2 linked regions of the Arabidopsis thaliana genome follow. The protein of the gene in region 1 interacts with the protein of each later gene in a pairwise test. Each region holds a gene or a part of one and is shown on either strand. Other genes may lie near its edges.

What was found. Proteins that work in one complex are often made in the same cells at the same time.
Region 2: the proteins of AT1G13990 (region 1) and AT4G22240 interact in a two-hybrid assay, tested with the Arabidopsis thaliana proteins (one large-scale study listed by BioGRID).

What each region holds. Positions count from the first base shown.
Region 1 is NC_003070.9:4,791,130-4,798,576, reverse strand, and holds AT1G13990 (plant/protein), read right to left. Parts: upstream 3,822-7,447; 5' UTR 3,768-3,821; coding exon 3,386-3,767; intron 3,296-3,385; coding exon 3,258-3,295; intron 3,084-3,257; coding exon 3,012-3,083; intron 2,799-3,011; coding exon 2,761-2,798; coding exon of another isoform or gene 2,699-2,760; intron 2,663-2,698; coding exon 2,500-2,662; intron 2,423-2,499; coding exon 2,327-2,422; intron 2,239-2,326; coding exon 2,101-2,238; 3' UTR 1,983-2,100; downstream 1-1,982. Other genes in the region: VIK (VH1-interacting kinase), read right to left, coding at 97-213, 471-545, 654-971; GN (sec7 domain-containing protein), read right to left, coding at 4,180-7,447.
Region 2 is NC_003075.7:11,763,238-11,770,299, reverse strand, and holds AT4G22240 (Plastid-lipid associated protein PAP / fibrillin family protein), read left to right. Parts: upstream 1-2,877; 5' UTR 2,878-3,072; coding exon 3,073-3,494; intron 3,495-3,614; coding exon 3,615-3,810; intron 3,811-3,895; coding exon 3,896-4,210; 3' UTR 4,211-4,497; downstream 4,498-7,062. Other genes in the region: IM (Alternative oxidase family protein), read left to right, coding at 125-333; AT4G22250 (RING/U-box superfamily protein), read left to right, coding at 1,971-2,615; AT4G22235 (defensin-like protein), read right to left, coding at 6,211-6,416, 6,506-6,575. UniProt on the Arabidopsis thaliana protein: Probably involved in light/cold stress-related jasmonate (JA) biosynthesis.

The DNA.
Region 1 (7,447 bases):
GAATGTGACCAACCCCAAATTAGCCAAAAGAAACTCATTTGCTCAAAACTCCATTATATTGAACTAAACACGGATAAGCAAAAGCACAAATCATACCTTTCCAATCATTGCAGCATTTGAAAAATCCAGCTCAGCAGGTTCAATTTCCCAGTCACATTTCTTTGGAATTGGTGGTGGCACAGGCTTTGGTTCAAAGTGACTTCCGTTTTGACCCTGCATAGTGAATTTACTCAGCTACATATGAACAACTATCCACACACAACAACAAAAATGACTAATAGAAACACTAAAGAATAACAAACAACACTGCATTAAGCAGCTACTTCAGAGAGATACGAAAGTTTCTAAATTTTGCAAAAAACATTTTCATATTCAATAGCAATCATCACCTACCCTAACAAATGAAACAAAAGGAACAATGTCTAACCTAAAGCTATACAAAGATCAGAAAAGGGAATTCAAAAACTCACATAAGACAAACCACCATGAGATTTCAGCAGTTCAATCATTTTCTGCTTCCTAGCTCCTTCTGCATCAGCCAGTGGCTGCAAATACCCACAAATACAACAATAAGTTTTAGATCAGAATCATAACAAAGTTAAGAAACTTGAAGAAGCAACCCAAAATTCAAAATAAAAAGGAAGAGGCTTTACCGTGTTCTTCCACCTATCCTGAGCATTGACATCAGCACCAAACTCAAGCAGACATTTAACAACATCGATCCATCCATGAAGCGACGCCACGTGGAGAGGCGTTCGTTTGTCATAGTCTCTAGCGTGAACCAAAGTCGGATCTTCCTCCAAGAGTTTCCGAACTGCAGCTGCGTCGTTTTGGTGCGCGTGCCATAGTATCAGAGATGTTCTACTCACACGTGCCTTCTCCTTTTGTTTGTCGTATGAAGGTGAAGGCACGCTTGTTCCCGCAGCGGCTTGTTCGCCACCGTCTCCAGCCGCCGGTGAATCGGAGCTCATCTCAAAACCGATTCAGATGATTGAGAGAAAAATGGAAAAAATAAGAGATTTTTGAATAAGGGTTTCGATTTTGATCGATAGAGCGATGTGATTAGAGTGGTTTCTTAGAATTTTAGAATTTGGATTTTGCTTCCGCGTGAGATTGAGGAATCAATTCTTTACTGTGGAACCGGAGAGAGGGAGAGAGAGATGATTCATGTTTTCTCTTTTGTGTTGCTTGTGTGAACGAAGATAATCGCCGTTAACTTAGCCGTCAAGTTGAATTGATGACTTTTTCCTCCGTCTATTTTAGTGAGTTCTTTTTTAACTCTGTCACCGTTATCTAAGACTTCTCTCTTTTGGTCTCTTTACTCTTTATTATTAGTGACCGACTAAGAAGGCTAGACTACTAAAGGGAAATTATTAAGGGATCATGTTGGATTTGTTCTTAGAATTTCATGAATAATATCAAATTTTAGTTACGTTTTAGTTTAGATTTGGTTATTTTTGAATAAATTTTAAGAGTAATGGTCACCTTGTTACAATAATACAATCTTTTGAAACTGAAAGAGTAATGGTCACCTTGATTTTACCCTTTGGAGTTTTGAGTTAAGAAAGAATAAGTAAACAAAGTGGCTTTACCTGTCTTTTTGACATAATAGTCTATCATATGTATAAATATAAATTTGACAATCATAAAATGCTATATGAATTATATAATAAACGTTATGGGTACTAAGTCAAGTCAACGATCCGGATAACATGGAATCACATCTATCACATGATTTTTATTAATAATACACTAGCATATGCCTTTAGCATATCTATTTTTATCTAAACAAAAAAAAGTCACTATTTTTCATGTTAAGAAGTTCAATATACAATGGTCTTTTTTGTCAACTAATCATAGATACTATAAATACTCACATGTTGATTGACCAAGTAATACATTACCTACTAGTGTTAGCTTTAAAGCCTTCAAAGAAAAGAGCGCAACTTCAAGAGAATTATAAGGAACAAAAAAAAGTTATGGAGCACAAGTAAAATGCATTTTATATATATACACAGTATCACCCACGGTTAATTACTGTTTAGTCTATACAAAGTATTTTCAATTATTGCAAGTAAAATTAATACATTGTTTCACAAGCTATTTATTATCCCTCAAGTCCTCAAGAGAACGCTTCCGGGATCCGAGATTACGTTCCAGCGTCTGAGGTGTAGGTGGTGTTCTTCCACGGCGGAAGAGCACTGCCAGAGACCTTGTTTTCCGACAAAGATCAAAAACCTATTCAAAAAAAAAAAAGCAGATCATTTCAAATGTTTAAAGGCAACAAGTTCTAGAATTAGATGATATCTTTGTCTCATAATCTTACAGAGGAGGCCTCAATCTCAGCGACACCTTCACACCCTTTCCCTCCCCCTTGTAATAGGTCACAGTATCTAACAGCCTCATTCACATCTTCGAAAACCTTTGAGATAAAAACTAGGCATATCACGTTGTCTGGGTTTCATAAGGTCTTGAAAGTGATTCAGTGAGAATACTTACCAGTACTCCATCTCGAATGTCTTCTACGAGCATATCGAATTTAGTTTTGGGTCTAGCCTGCTTTGTCTGGTTGCTGATCCTACTAGGGAACAACAGTCCAAGCTCTTTTTCTACTTCACTGTTTATAAGGATTGCTAATGTCATAGGGAGAAGAAAACTAAAACTATAAAAAAAAACTTGAGTGGAATAGAGTTGGAACCTGTGGTTTGTTCTTGTTTTCATGGTACATATCTGGTTTTCTCTATGTGTTAATACATATACAGGCTTCGAATCTCCTCTCCATGGGTTGGACTCCAACACTAAGATTGTGAGAAGCCACAGTGAGAGAAATGGTTCTCAACGAAATCACTCAGTCAAAGATACAGAGCACTAAAGGAACAACATCAATTTATTAACTTTAGATGAATACAAGCTTAAATTGAATAAAACACTTATGTTCCTATTGCTTTGATATTCCTATGCATCAGCACTATGTGAAAGATGAGATGATAAAACCGTGCTTGCAATCTTACTGTAAGAGTGGAATCTAGAAATGAACAATTTTCCTCATCATAGTTCAGCTGAAGCACTCTTCTCCTGGGGAACTAAAGAAATGGTATGCAGAACACAAACTTTTGAATCATAACTAACACTACATCTATCAATGGAGAGCTTCTTCACCGGTTGTGTGTGACACAGTGACTAAATTCTGACATTGTTCAACAAAACGATTTGACTCCTGTTAACAAAAACAAGGCACTAAGGGAATTTCAAACTACTACAGTTCCCAAACTTCCTAGACAATCTTTAAGAAACTCTGATCAAGTTAGTTGCATCAACGAAAGTATTAATTTTGCATCACCAAAATCAAAGTAAACGCAGGAATTGAGAGCGATAGAGATTATACCGTCATAGCTAGTGGAATCAAACGTCTGCTCAAGTTTCCGACGCATGTCGTAAGCACGCGACGAAACTTGCCTTACAAACTCATCGGAAGTCCCAGGGATCGTACCATCCAAGTGAAGCGCCTTCTCAACTTCCTCGCTCTCTTCTTCATCGCCACCAAGCTTATCTGATCCTCCTCCTCCGCCGCCGGTCGATTTACAGCTAACGAAGTGTCTTCTTCTAGAAATCGAAATCCGTCTCCCGGAGCTGGACAAGCCGAAAAGGTAAGAAGAACGGCGTGAAGGAAGACGAATCAACACTGATCGTGAAGTTGAAACGGGGATCGTAGTAGTGGTGGCCGGAGGAAGAATTATGGAAGGAGAAATAGATGTTAGCGATTCCATTGAAACTTCCTTCTCTTTCTAATTCACTGTTTATCTTTCCCTTCTTAGAAAATCAAACGATCCTTTCTTAATTTTCTCGGGAAAAGAGAAAATTCTCGACGTGACGTAAACGACTCAACAAGAAGAAAAGAAAAAAACTCGTGGAGGCAAAATTTAACAACTCTCCTGAATCTACTGATATTTTTCCTTTGGTGGGTTCCACACATGTTCAAGACCTTCTACCTCGTTCCAAAGGTCCGTGATTAACAAAGTCGTAATTAAGAAACTTGCTTAATTAATACGAGTCTCTGAATTAGAAAGACTTATATATTACAAAAAAAAACGTAGAGAGGTGTTACATAAGAAGCTTTCACTTTCACAGTACTTATATGGATATTCGAAAGAAACTCACCTAATGATCTCACTTGTAAGGTCACGAACCAGTTGTGTTTTCAGGAGAAGATAAGCCATTCGATACGGTTTCATCATCACCAAGTTGTGAGGATTCTTGATCAGGGAATAGCTCCAGTCGCATAGACGGTGCAATGTTATTCACATGAAGCCATGTTAGCTCCCATAAGCTATCTCCACCAAGAGCACTTCTTTGCAATAGCACGCCTTTCGTCTTCATCACCAGCAATATGTTTTTGAGAAGCTCTGGTACTGATTCTTGTAGCTTGTCGCTTTTTTTGCCTCTTACTTTCACTTTCATGTATTTCTCCATTCGAGTTAGAACACCGAGCCATAGCTTGCAGAAGGTTGATAACTGAGATAGCTCTTGGAGTTGCTGAAGAAACACTTTGGAGAGAAGTTTGATTGCGAGAAGCAATGTGCCTTCCATGTTTCGGTAGTCTTTCTGTGACCCAGCAGCTATCTCAAGTAAGTCATCCAAAACCGTGAAGATTACTTTGTCAAAGCATTGAGACCACATGCTATGAGCTAGGTTGATTCCGTCTACTCCGCCTAAACACTTCTGTAATGACTGTAAAGCGTGGTTTCGGACATCCTCCCTCTGGTCTAAACACACTTTTCTTAGTCCTTGAACAAGCCTTAACCACATTTCCCCAATATCTTGTGACATCTTCCCGAAATCTTCTTCTCCCATGTTTTCCTTAGCTGAGAGAGCCCATTTAGCCAAAAATTCTAATGAATCTCCCATTAGATCAAGGGCACGGATAGAGCGTTCGGACTGTCCCACGCGGGATTCAGCAAACTGTCTTGCAGCATCAACACAGAGTACATAATTGGCTGGATACAGGTGAGTTCCTTCAGACATAACAAAGGATACGGCATCAAATCCTGATTCAGAAGCTTCTGGGTGCCGCGCTGTGATGGAGAGTAAGGATGTGATTGTTCTCCAACCCGCCTGAGACCTGATGTGATTAGCATTGGCTTTCACAAGACGGCTGACTTCAATTGCAATTTGCTCACAATAGGCATCTGCAACACGTGCATCCAGTTTCAGCACAAGCTGAAGAGATCTCAAAAGCTCATCAGCTAGGCTTTCTTTATAAGGAAGTAGTCTCTGGCAGATCCGAAGTAGACCAAAAATAGCTTTATCCACTAAGTTGCAGGGCATCACCGTTGACTGAGCAATTGTAGCTATATGTTCATAGACGCCTTGCCATAGGAGAACGATCCTGTCTCTGTTGTTTAGAGTGATTGCAATAAGCAATTCCAGACAGAAAACCGCAGTATCCTCATCCTCTGGAGAACTGGTTCCTTTCTGTGGCCTACCTGCAGCCCAAATGAGAGCACGCGCAAGCTGCAACAAAGATTCAGCTTGTAGAAACTTGCTTTCGGTAAATATGCTGTCAATGTGACATTTCTGAATTGTTTGAAGTGTTCGTTGATGAGCTGCAAGCTGTTGCTCAGTAGGCTGTGATCTTGGCTCTTCTGTATCAAGTGAAAGAAGCTGACTAAATCTTCCCATCAATCCGGAAGATCTCCTCGGAGTTCCCATTGACTGTAGATGAGCTGAAGATAGGGAATTCGCGAGGGGCTTTCCTTGCCCTTGCTCAGATGAATGTTCTGATTCATCAGCTGCATCACTGGCTACACGAGCTGGCAGAAGTCCAAGTTTATGTAGCCGTAAGATACAGTCCAATATGTTCCTCCAACCCGTACGTATATAATCTCCATATTTGTTTGCAATGGTAAAAATTGTGATAGTAGCCATCCTTGCTTTTGCGTCATCACCAAATGCAAGAACGGGTTCATCAACAGATGATGGATTCAACAGAGTTGTGAATTTGCAGAGAGAGACAACCAGATCATCAAGCACATCTTCAAGATGATGACAGGCAGAAATTTTAGCTATAGCCAAGAATCCATCGATGCATGTCTGGTAAACGTCTTCATGTTCTGCATGGTCAAAAACGACTGATATGGCAGCAATGGTTGGACCAGACATGATAGCAAACATATCATGGTCAAGATAAGCCCTTGAATCAGCCAGAATATATGGAGCAGTTTTCTTTGATTTATGCATCAAATCAATCCAACGGCTGGGAGTCATTTCAGGAAAGCCTGCACCTTGTTCTGGAGTAGTCCTGATCTCATTGTTGCAGATGGAGTGAAAGAGTTCAGACAAGAATTCTCGAGGTAGATCATTTCCTCCATTGATATGCCTATTATTGCGAATGAAATCCTCTTCTGTCATCTTTTTCTTTACTTGAACGTTGTGCTGATCAGTGTTAAGCATGATAATAGAGTATGATAACACAAGAGCAGCATCCTTGTTGGCCAGAATCTCAGGAGATTGCATATAGTATCTTTCAGAGAACGCCTCAAGCACTCTCTGTATTTTCTGGGATTCTCCAGGCAACCTGAAGGTTTCCAAGAAGAGTCGGAGTGCAGTATCCAGATTCATGTACTGGAAATCGAAAGTCCCAGCAAACTCATTGAGAACTTGAACACAAAATTCGTCATGATTTCCAAGAAAATCCCCAACAAGGTTCTTATCAAGCCCAGCAGTATATCTAAAAAAGCAAGCAACACTTTGGGGATCGAGTTTGTCAGGCAAAAGATGTGTGCCTTGGAGAAACTCTAACCCCTTCTTTGGATCCCTGTTAAAATGATCTGCTCCAATCATTAACCTTCTCTTGATATATTTTCTCCTGCGGACAAATGAAACCCAGTGATTTGGATCACTATAGTTGTCACACTTAACCATCCAGAAAGGCGTGTACTCATCAAGATGGACAGGACCCAAATCCAAACCAGTCAATCCATTACTTATCCTCTCGGCCATTCCCTGAATAACAGCGATTAGGCCATCCAGAGCAAGAATGTGCATTGCAGACAAAGGACAGTTCACAGGAAATGTGCTCTTCGAGAGAAGATTAGACAGCTCCTCAAACACGTTGCTGCAAGTTATATCACAATCGAGATTGGCATACATTTCAACCATAAAACTCTTCTGCCTACAAAAATTCACAAGAGCCTCCATAGCAACCTCTTGCTGCTGATACGAGGGCCCATATTTTCCTTGAGCAAGCCTTAGAATCACACATGAAAAGAATGCCTCAAGCTGCAACTTGAGTTCAGTTCGTAGATGTTGATACAAATTGAGCACAATGCTGCAAACCATCGAAAGAATCAGGGGGCTCATCGACAATCCGAACTGCATCAAGTTACGAAATAACTCATCTTGAATTAGGCTTAACAATCTTGGGTGATGGCGGATGGACGATCCACCC
Region 2 (7,062 bases), on another chromosome or scaffold:
AAATGACTGAGATTCTGTCTTATGTTTGTATGGAGGAAGCATTATTCACAGTTTGTGACTTACTTTGATGTTAAAATAAGAATCTATATAACGTTTTTGTTGTTTTGTGATTACGGTTGGGCAGAAAATCTATACGATGTGTTTGTGAACATAAGAGATGATGAAGCAGAACACTGCAAGACAATGAGAGCTTGTCAGACTCTAGGCAGTCTGCGTTCTCCACACTCCATTTTAGAAGATGATGATACTGAAGAAGAATCAGGGTGTGTTGTTCCTGAGGAGGCTCATTGCGAAGGTATTGTAGACTGCCTCAAGAAATCCATTACAAGTTAATAAATTAGAAAGTAAACTAAAAAAGATTATTTGTATCAGCTCATGAACAATAGATATAATCCCATATACTTGGGAATAAAGGAATAATGTGAAATTCCCATCGTTGTGCTAGTGTGTGAGAGAATCAAATACCCTAATGATGTAAATGTACTTTGATGAGCTTAAGTCGTTGTAGACCATTTTATCCATACTACTAGCCTTTGTGGTTGCATTGTCGGTTTCTTCAATTCTTATTTCACAGGAGTAAAAAAAATGTTTAAAAGTACAAAATCATTGAATGTATCATTCTCTCAAAAAGCATATTGGTATTAGCGTTTAGAATCTCTATATCCCACACTTTTATTTTTATTGGTTTTGTTGGGGAGAGTGTGGCGCAAAGACGACGTCGTCTATGCGAACATTTCACGTGGGAAAAGCCTTGATTCATGCGCCTTCTTTAATTTTTCTTCTTTTTTTTTTTTTTTTTTTGTCTCTTCTTTGCCTTTCACTTTTTAAAATGATTTTCCGCGGGTTTAATAACAAAAATGTTTTCCCGCCAGAAAGGTTTTACCAAAAAACCATGTTCCGGTTATAGCACAGGTAAGAGAATTCATCAGTCTAGTATAATTAGCAGTAATCAAATTCGAATACTTTGATCGTCGCTTTTATTTCAGAGTTAGCGTTACATTAATAGTACCTTTATTCGATTGATGATTTGTTTAATCTTTAATAGGGTTTGAACTCCGATGGAGGACCTTTTTTGTTGGTAATATTCCCTTCGTTTCACAATATAAGTTGTTTTAACTAAAAATACGTATATTAAGAATATTTATTTTTAAAATGTTCAACCAATTATAAAAAAAACTGTAGAATATAAATAATCATAAAGTATTAAAATAATATATAATTTGCATAGAAACTTGAAAACAACTTATATTATAAAACAAAAAATTTGGTATAAAACAACTTATATTATGAAACGGAGGGAGTATAAACTTAAGTACTAATTCGATTTTGTTTCTATTCGAGACCTTGAAGACTTTTTTATTTAATTTTAAAACTAAGTCGTACAGTTACAGAAACAGCATTAAATTTTTCCTCTTAAGTAAATTTATTTTTTCTCTTTCTATCAGAAATTCAGAAGAACTAACATTATAGTTGCCCCCATTGCGTACACTGTACATCATTTCTCGGTAAATTACACATAATTATAAGTTGATTAACCTTTTAAGTTTTAAACAATGATGTAAGTAACTTATTAAAAATTGGTTTTTAAAAATTGAAAGTTATATACTCAAGTTGGAAAAATATTTTACAAATATACTCGATTCCACTACTACTGTAATTTTGTGTGGAATACCAGTCAAACAGAATCGTTATAACTGTTAAAAATTAGTAAAACTGTATAAAGTAATTTTAATTCGCGGGAAATCAATATTCGGAAGCAACTTTAACAAAAAAAATAAAGAAATGTGAAGAGAAAAAAAAAACTCTGAAAACTTCCTTTATAATGTCATCATCACTGCGAGACCCAAAGATCTAAACAGTTTCTCTCTCTCCCTCACAGGGCTCTCTCATGGCGGAGCTAATCTGTCTATTTCACTGGTGATTCTGTTTCACTATCTGAGAATTTGTTTAGAGTTTCCGTTACCGAGTCGATGATGAGTGAACTCGATCTCGGAACGAGTCAGAGGATGACGGAAACACACCGCACGACGACGACGTTTCTTGATTTGCTCCGACGACAGATGAGCGGTCACGATCTCACCAGAAGGAAACGGACGTTAAAAGAACGGTTGAGATTCAAATGCATCGGATGCTGTGGTCCAACCTGGAATCTCCGTCTAACTAACAACACCACTCTTCACAGTCCAACCTCAAGAGACGACGAAATCGAAGAGTTACAAATTGAAACCGGACTCGTTCTCGAATCGGATCATGGATCGGGTACGGGTATGAATCTCGCGACAGCGTTAGAAGCGGAGAGGTATAACCGTGGAGAATCGACGGAGGCGGAGGCAGATATGACGCCGAGGAGAGTTTCGTTGATGAGATTGTTGGAAGAGACGGCGGAGAAAATCGTTGATGACGACGGGAAAGAAACGGAGATATTAACGGCGTCTATTGGGACGTTAACGGGTAATGATTCGGTGTGTTGCGTGTGTATGGGAAGAAAGAAAGGCGCTGCGTTTATTCCATGTGGTCATACTTTTTGCAGAGTGTGCTCTAGAGAATTGTGGCTGAACCGTGGATCGTGTCCTCTTTGTAACCGTCCGATCATTGAGATACTCGATATTTTCTGAAAACGATCGGACGGCTAAAAGTTCTCGATCCACGTGAGTAAGTGAGGTGATCCCTAGATACGTTTCCAAAGTTTTAACTACGGTTTGTGTACTTTGTACGTTTCTTTTGGTTATTGAAGAAGATGATGTAAATGCAAAAAAGAATACAAGAGGTTTTTTGTTCACGAGGCCCATTTAGTCTATTCAAGCCCAGTAAACCGTTATTTTGGATTTTATCTAGCCTAAACAATGCTCGCCTCACACCGTCGAGTGGATTCTTGGCCGTTGATCTTGTCTCTCACGTGGCAGTATCGTAGTCGAATGTACATGATCTATGTGGAATAGTCGATATTATCCCTCTTGGTGTGAGTTTGGTAGTTGATGAAAGCAAAACATTTACGTAACAATGTCTATAAAATCAGTACAGGTCTATTCTTGTTCACTAGCTTCGAAATTTTAGTCGAAGAAACAAAAAAAAATGGCGACGGTACAATTGTCCACCCAATTTAGCTGCCAAACCAGAGTTTCAATCTCACCGAACTCTAAATCTATCTCCAAGCCTCCGTTTCTGGTACCGGTGACCTCAATTATTCACCGCCCGATGATCTCCACCGGAGGAATCGCTGTTTCCCCCCGTAGAGTTTTCAAAGTCCGAGCCACAGATACGGGAGAGATAGGATCAGCTCTATTGGCGGCGGAGGAAGCAATTGAAGACGTGGAAGAGACGGAGCGGCTAAAGAGATCGCTCGTGGATTCGTTGTACGGAACAGATCGAGGTTTAAGCGCATCGAGCGAAACCAGAGCTGAAATCGGAGATCTAATCACACAGCTCGAGTCTAAGAACCCTACTCCAGCTCCGACGGAAGCTCTTTTCCTTCTCAACGGCAAATGGATCCTCGCGTAAGTTTTTTTCCGGTGAAAACTTTCTCTTGTAGTCCTGTAGATAGCATCATTCGTAGGATTCTGGATTCAAATGGTAGATCTCGTGCTGCTTTTGATTTGGTTAAACCTCTTTTGCAGCTACACATCGTTCGTGAATTTGTTCCCGTTGCTATCACGAGGAATCGTACCGTTAATAAAAGTCGATGAGATCTCTCAAACCATTGATTCAGATAACTTCACCGTCCAGAACTCTGTTCGTTTCGCTGGTCCTTTAGGTACAAACTCGATTAGCACCAACGCTAAATTCGAAATCCGAAGCCCTAAACGCGTCCAGGTAAATTGACCATTCATCGACCATGATCTGATATCAACATCTTGAAACGTTTTCAGTAATGTTTTGGATTTCATTTTTCTTGCAGATTAAGTTTGAGCAAGGCGTAATTGGGACGCCTCAGCTAACGGATTCTATTGAGATACCGGAATATGTAGAGGTTCTTGGTCAAAAGATTGATCTTAACCCGATCAGAGGGTTACTTACCTCGGTGCAAGACACAGCCTCGTCTGTGGCTAGAACCATATCAAGCCAACCACCGTTGAAATTCTCTTTGCCGGCGGACAATGCGCAGTCTTGGCTACTCACGACTTATCTAGACAAAGACATTCGGATCTCTAGAGGAGACGGTGGAAGTGTCTTTGTGCTTATCAAAGAAGGAAGCCCTCTCTTGAATCCTTGAACTTGGTCAAAATATATGTCTCTCTCTTGTCGTTGTGTTAAGTGAGACAAATATATAGTGTGGTTGTAGGTTTACTTCTTAATCGTTGTTATTAACTCGATGATAAGGAATATAATGTTTTTAACTACTACAGAACATCTCGTCTATGGCCTATGAAATGTGTCTCAGATTTTCACAAAATTCAAGTGTTTTAGAATTTCATTCTCTTCTGTTTGATTTAGAAAGTAAACTATGTACCGATGCAAGAGTTACATGAGAATTATCCCGGCAACGTCGGGTCTTTCGATAAGAATCGAGATGATGACTGTCATTTTGTTGTCTAATTGGTTCACTCTGTGCTTGATGCCTATCATTTTTTTTTTGAGGGACTCAGTCACTGGAAATGGTTCTATTAGTATGGTATGGGATACTTGTTAGTATAGTACTCGAGGTTTCTAGCATATGCCATAGAGTTTCTCAATATCTGAAGCCCTATTTTGAATGTGTTTGTTCTTTCTGTAATTTATTTAGAGACCATCAGGTAAAGGAAAAACTCAATTCAGACAAGAACATAAGAAACCTAAATTGACCAAATTTCTCATATAACTGAAAGTTTGAAACTGTGTTTTGTTATGTACAGTTTGGTGGAGGGTTTGATGCGGAGAGCATGAATCAGAGCCAAAACTGAAAGTGGAGGAGACAATAATAATGATAACAATGAAGAATAATCTGTAAACTGAGTTTTATTACTTTCTTTTTCTTCTATGTCTCTCTTTATCATTGTAGCACATATTTGCTATATAGGATTTGAATGGTTGCAACGGTTAAGGCGGACAAATTCGTTTGCGGTTTGAACTGTTTTTTATTTATCATTCATATTTGTATAGGTGCGAATTTAAAAAAGAAAAAAAAAACCACTGCAGATTAACTACGGACTGTTTTTACATACAAATATAATTAGTTCGTAACGGTTTATTGCCCATTTTAAAAATAGAGCGGACTAAATCGCTGACGTATTTGTCCGCTCTAACTACCGTTAGTAATAATATAGTTTGTTGTCAAAAATACATTCTTTTGTTTAGGTTTGCAGATGATTTTTTTTATTTTCTATTACTATATTTTAGTCTTTTAGATGATAAATTCGCAATAAATTTGTAATCTGCCAAACTACTGAAAAAAGAGAAAATAATTGTGGTTTGTCTTAAAAGTCACTTGTTTTAAGACATATCATGTGCAGCCATGCAAAGTGTATCTCCCGAATCTTCTTCACTCATTAATGTTTTACAGTATTTTTATAAATTTTATCATGTTAAGTACAAAATAAAAATAAGAATGGTCCATTAGAATTACAGCATATAACAACAAGGACTAGTTCTCTTTTGTAATTTTGTAATTTTATGCAAACGTATAAAAGAAAAATAATCGTGTTTTATTTTTGGAAAGGAATTAAGTATTTCTGCCACCACCTAACAAACAGGGTCCATTTCTTGGGTCTAAAACTTTTCACGGTCAAACAAGATATACATTGATTACTATTATTGTATTCGTATTATCTAAAACACTATCATAATAATAGTAACTTTCATCATCCGACCTTCTTCGTATAATAATTTAAATAAATTTATGGATCTAAGACTAAGATGACAACCACTAAAAAAAGCAACTATAGTCCATATATATCAGACTACTTTTGGCATTTTATCAGTATATGACACCTAAAAATTACAAAAATTATAACGAACACAAACGTAACACAATACATGTCTACATCATTACGTATTTGTGTTTGAATTTTTTTTTATAAAAAAAAAACTGAAAAAGTTTAAAGTGAAGGAACAAAGAAACAAAACAACGACACAATTTAGACAGCTAGTTTTATTGCAAAAGCCAAAGCTTTATTTTGATACCCCCAAAGTAGAAGGCAAACACTCAAACATGGATGTGAGATGAAATCATAAACATGCAAATAGCAAAACACACAGACACACAAATTAAGTGACGTCGTTTTCTATCATCTGCAATCACATGCTTTCCTTTTCAGCACCGCTCTTTGCAGCATCATAATCACGGCAGCACCAACATATCCCTTGACCACCACCAACATTTAAGCATTCGCCTCCATGATACTTGCTGTCCACTGCCCTGCATGGTACATCGCAAGTAGAGATCGTGTCCGCGAGTCTACATAAACCCTTTCGTAAGTCACACTTTCCCCATCCATTCACTTCTGTATGATCCATACAAAGAGACAATATTTCATAAACATGTATTTATTTTAGATCTTTGGATCAAAATATTTTGGTCTTTTTTACGTACCTATAGGAGATATGAGGAGGATGGAGAGACAAACGACTATTGCAAATGTGCTCAGCTTTAAGCTCCCCATTACTTGCTGATCTCTTAGTTCTTCTTAGCTTCTTTCTTTTTTAGCAATAGTTAGTTGGGAGAGAGCTTAACCAAACATGCAATTTTATTGTATTCTATATGTAAACTCGCACGCTAGCAACTGCGACCCGTAATATACGGTTAGCGACTTCGATCAGATTTTACTATATATTGTTCGTTTTACTATTGCTGTAACTGGTCGTCGTTTAGGTTGTTCGTTTTACTGTCGTGTGACTAGCTGTTACGACTTCATTGACATATGTTTTCTTAAATCAAATTCTTAAAATTTATATATAGTTGTAAATTGTATAACTAATTTCACTCCGATCCGGTTCCCGAGAAGATTTTCAAATCTCAGATCTGGATGCATGGAGGAGATATTTTAAAAATAGTTGGATTATTATACTTCTTTGTAAGTCGTTCCATTCACTATTTCCTTTTAGATGCGATCAGATATTTATTATACCAACTCGAATTGTATATTACTA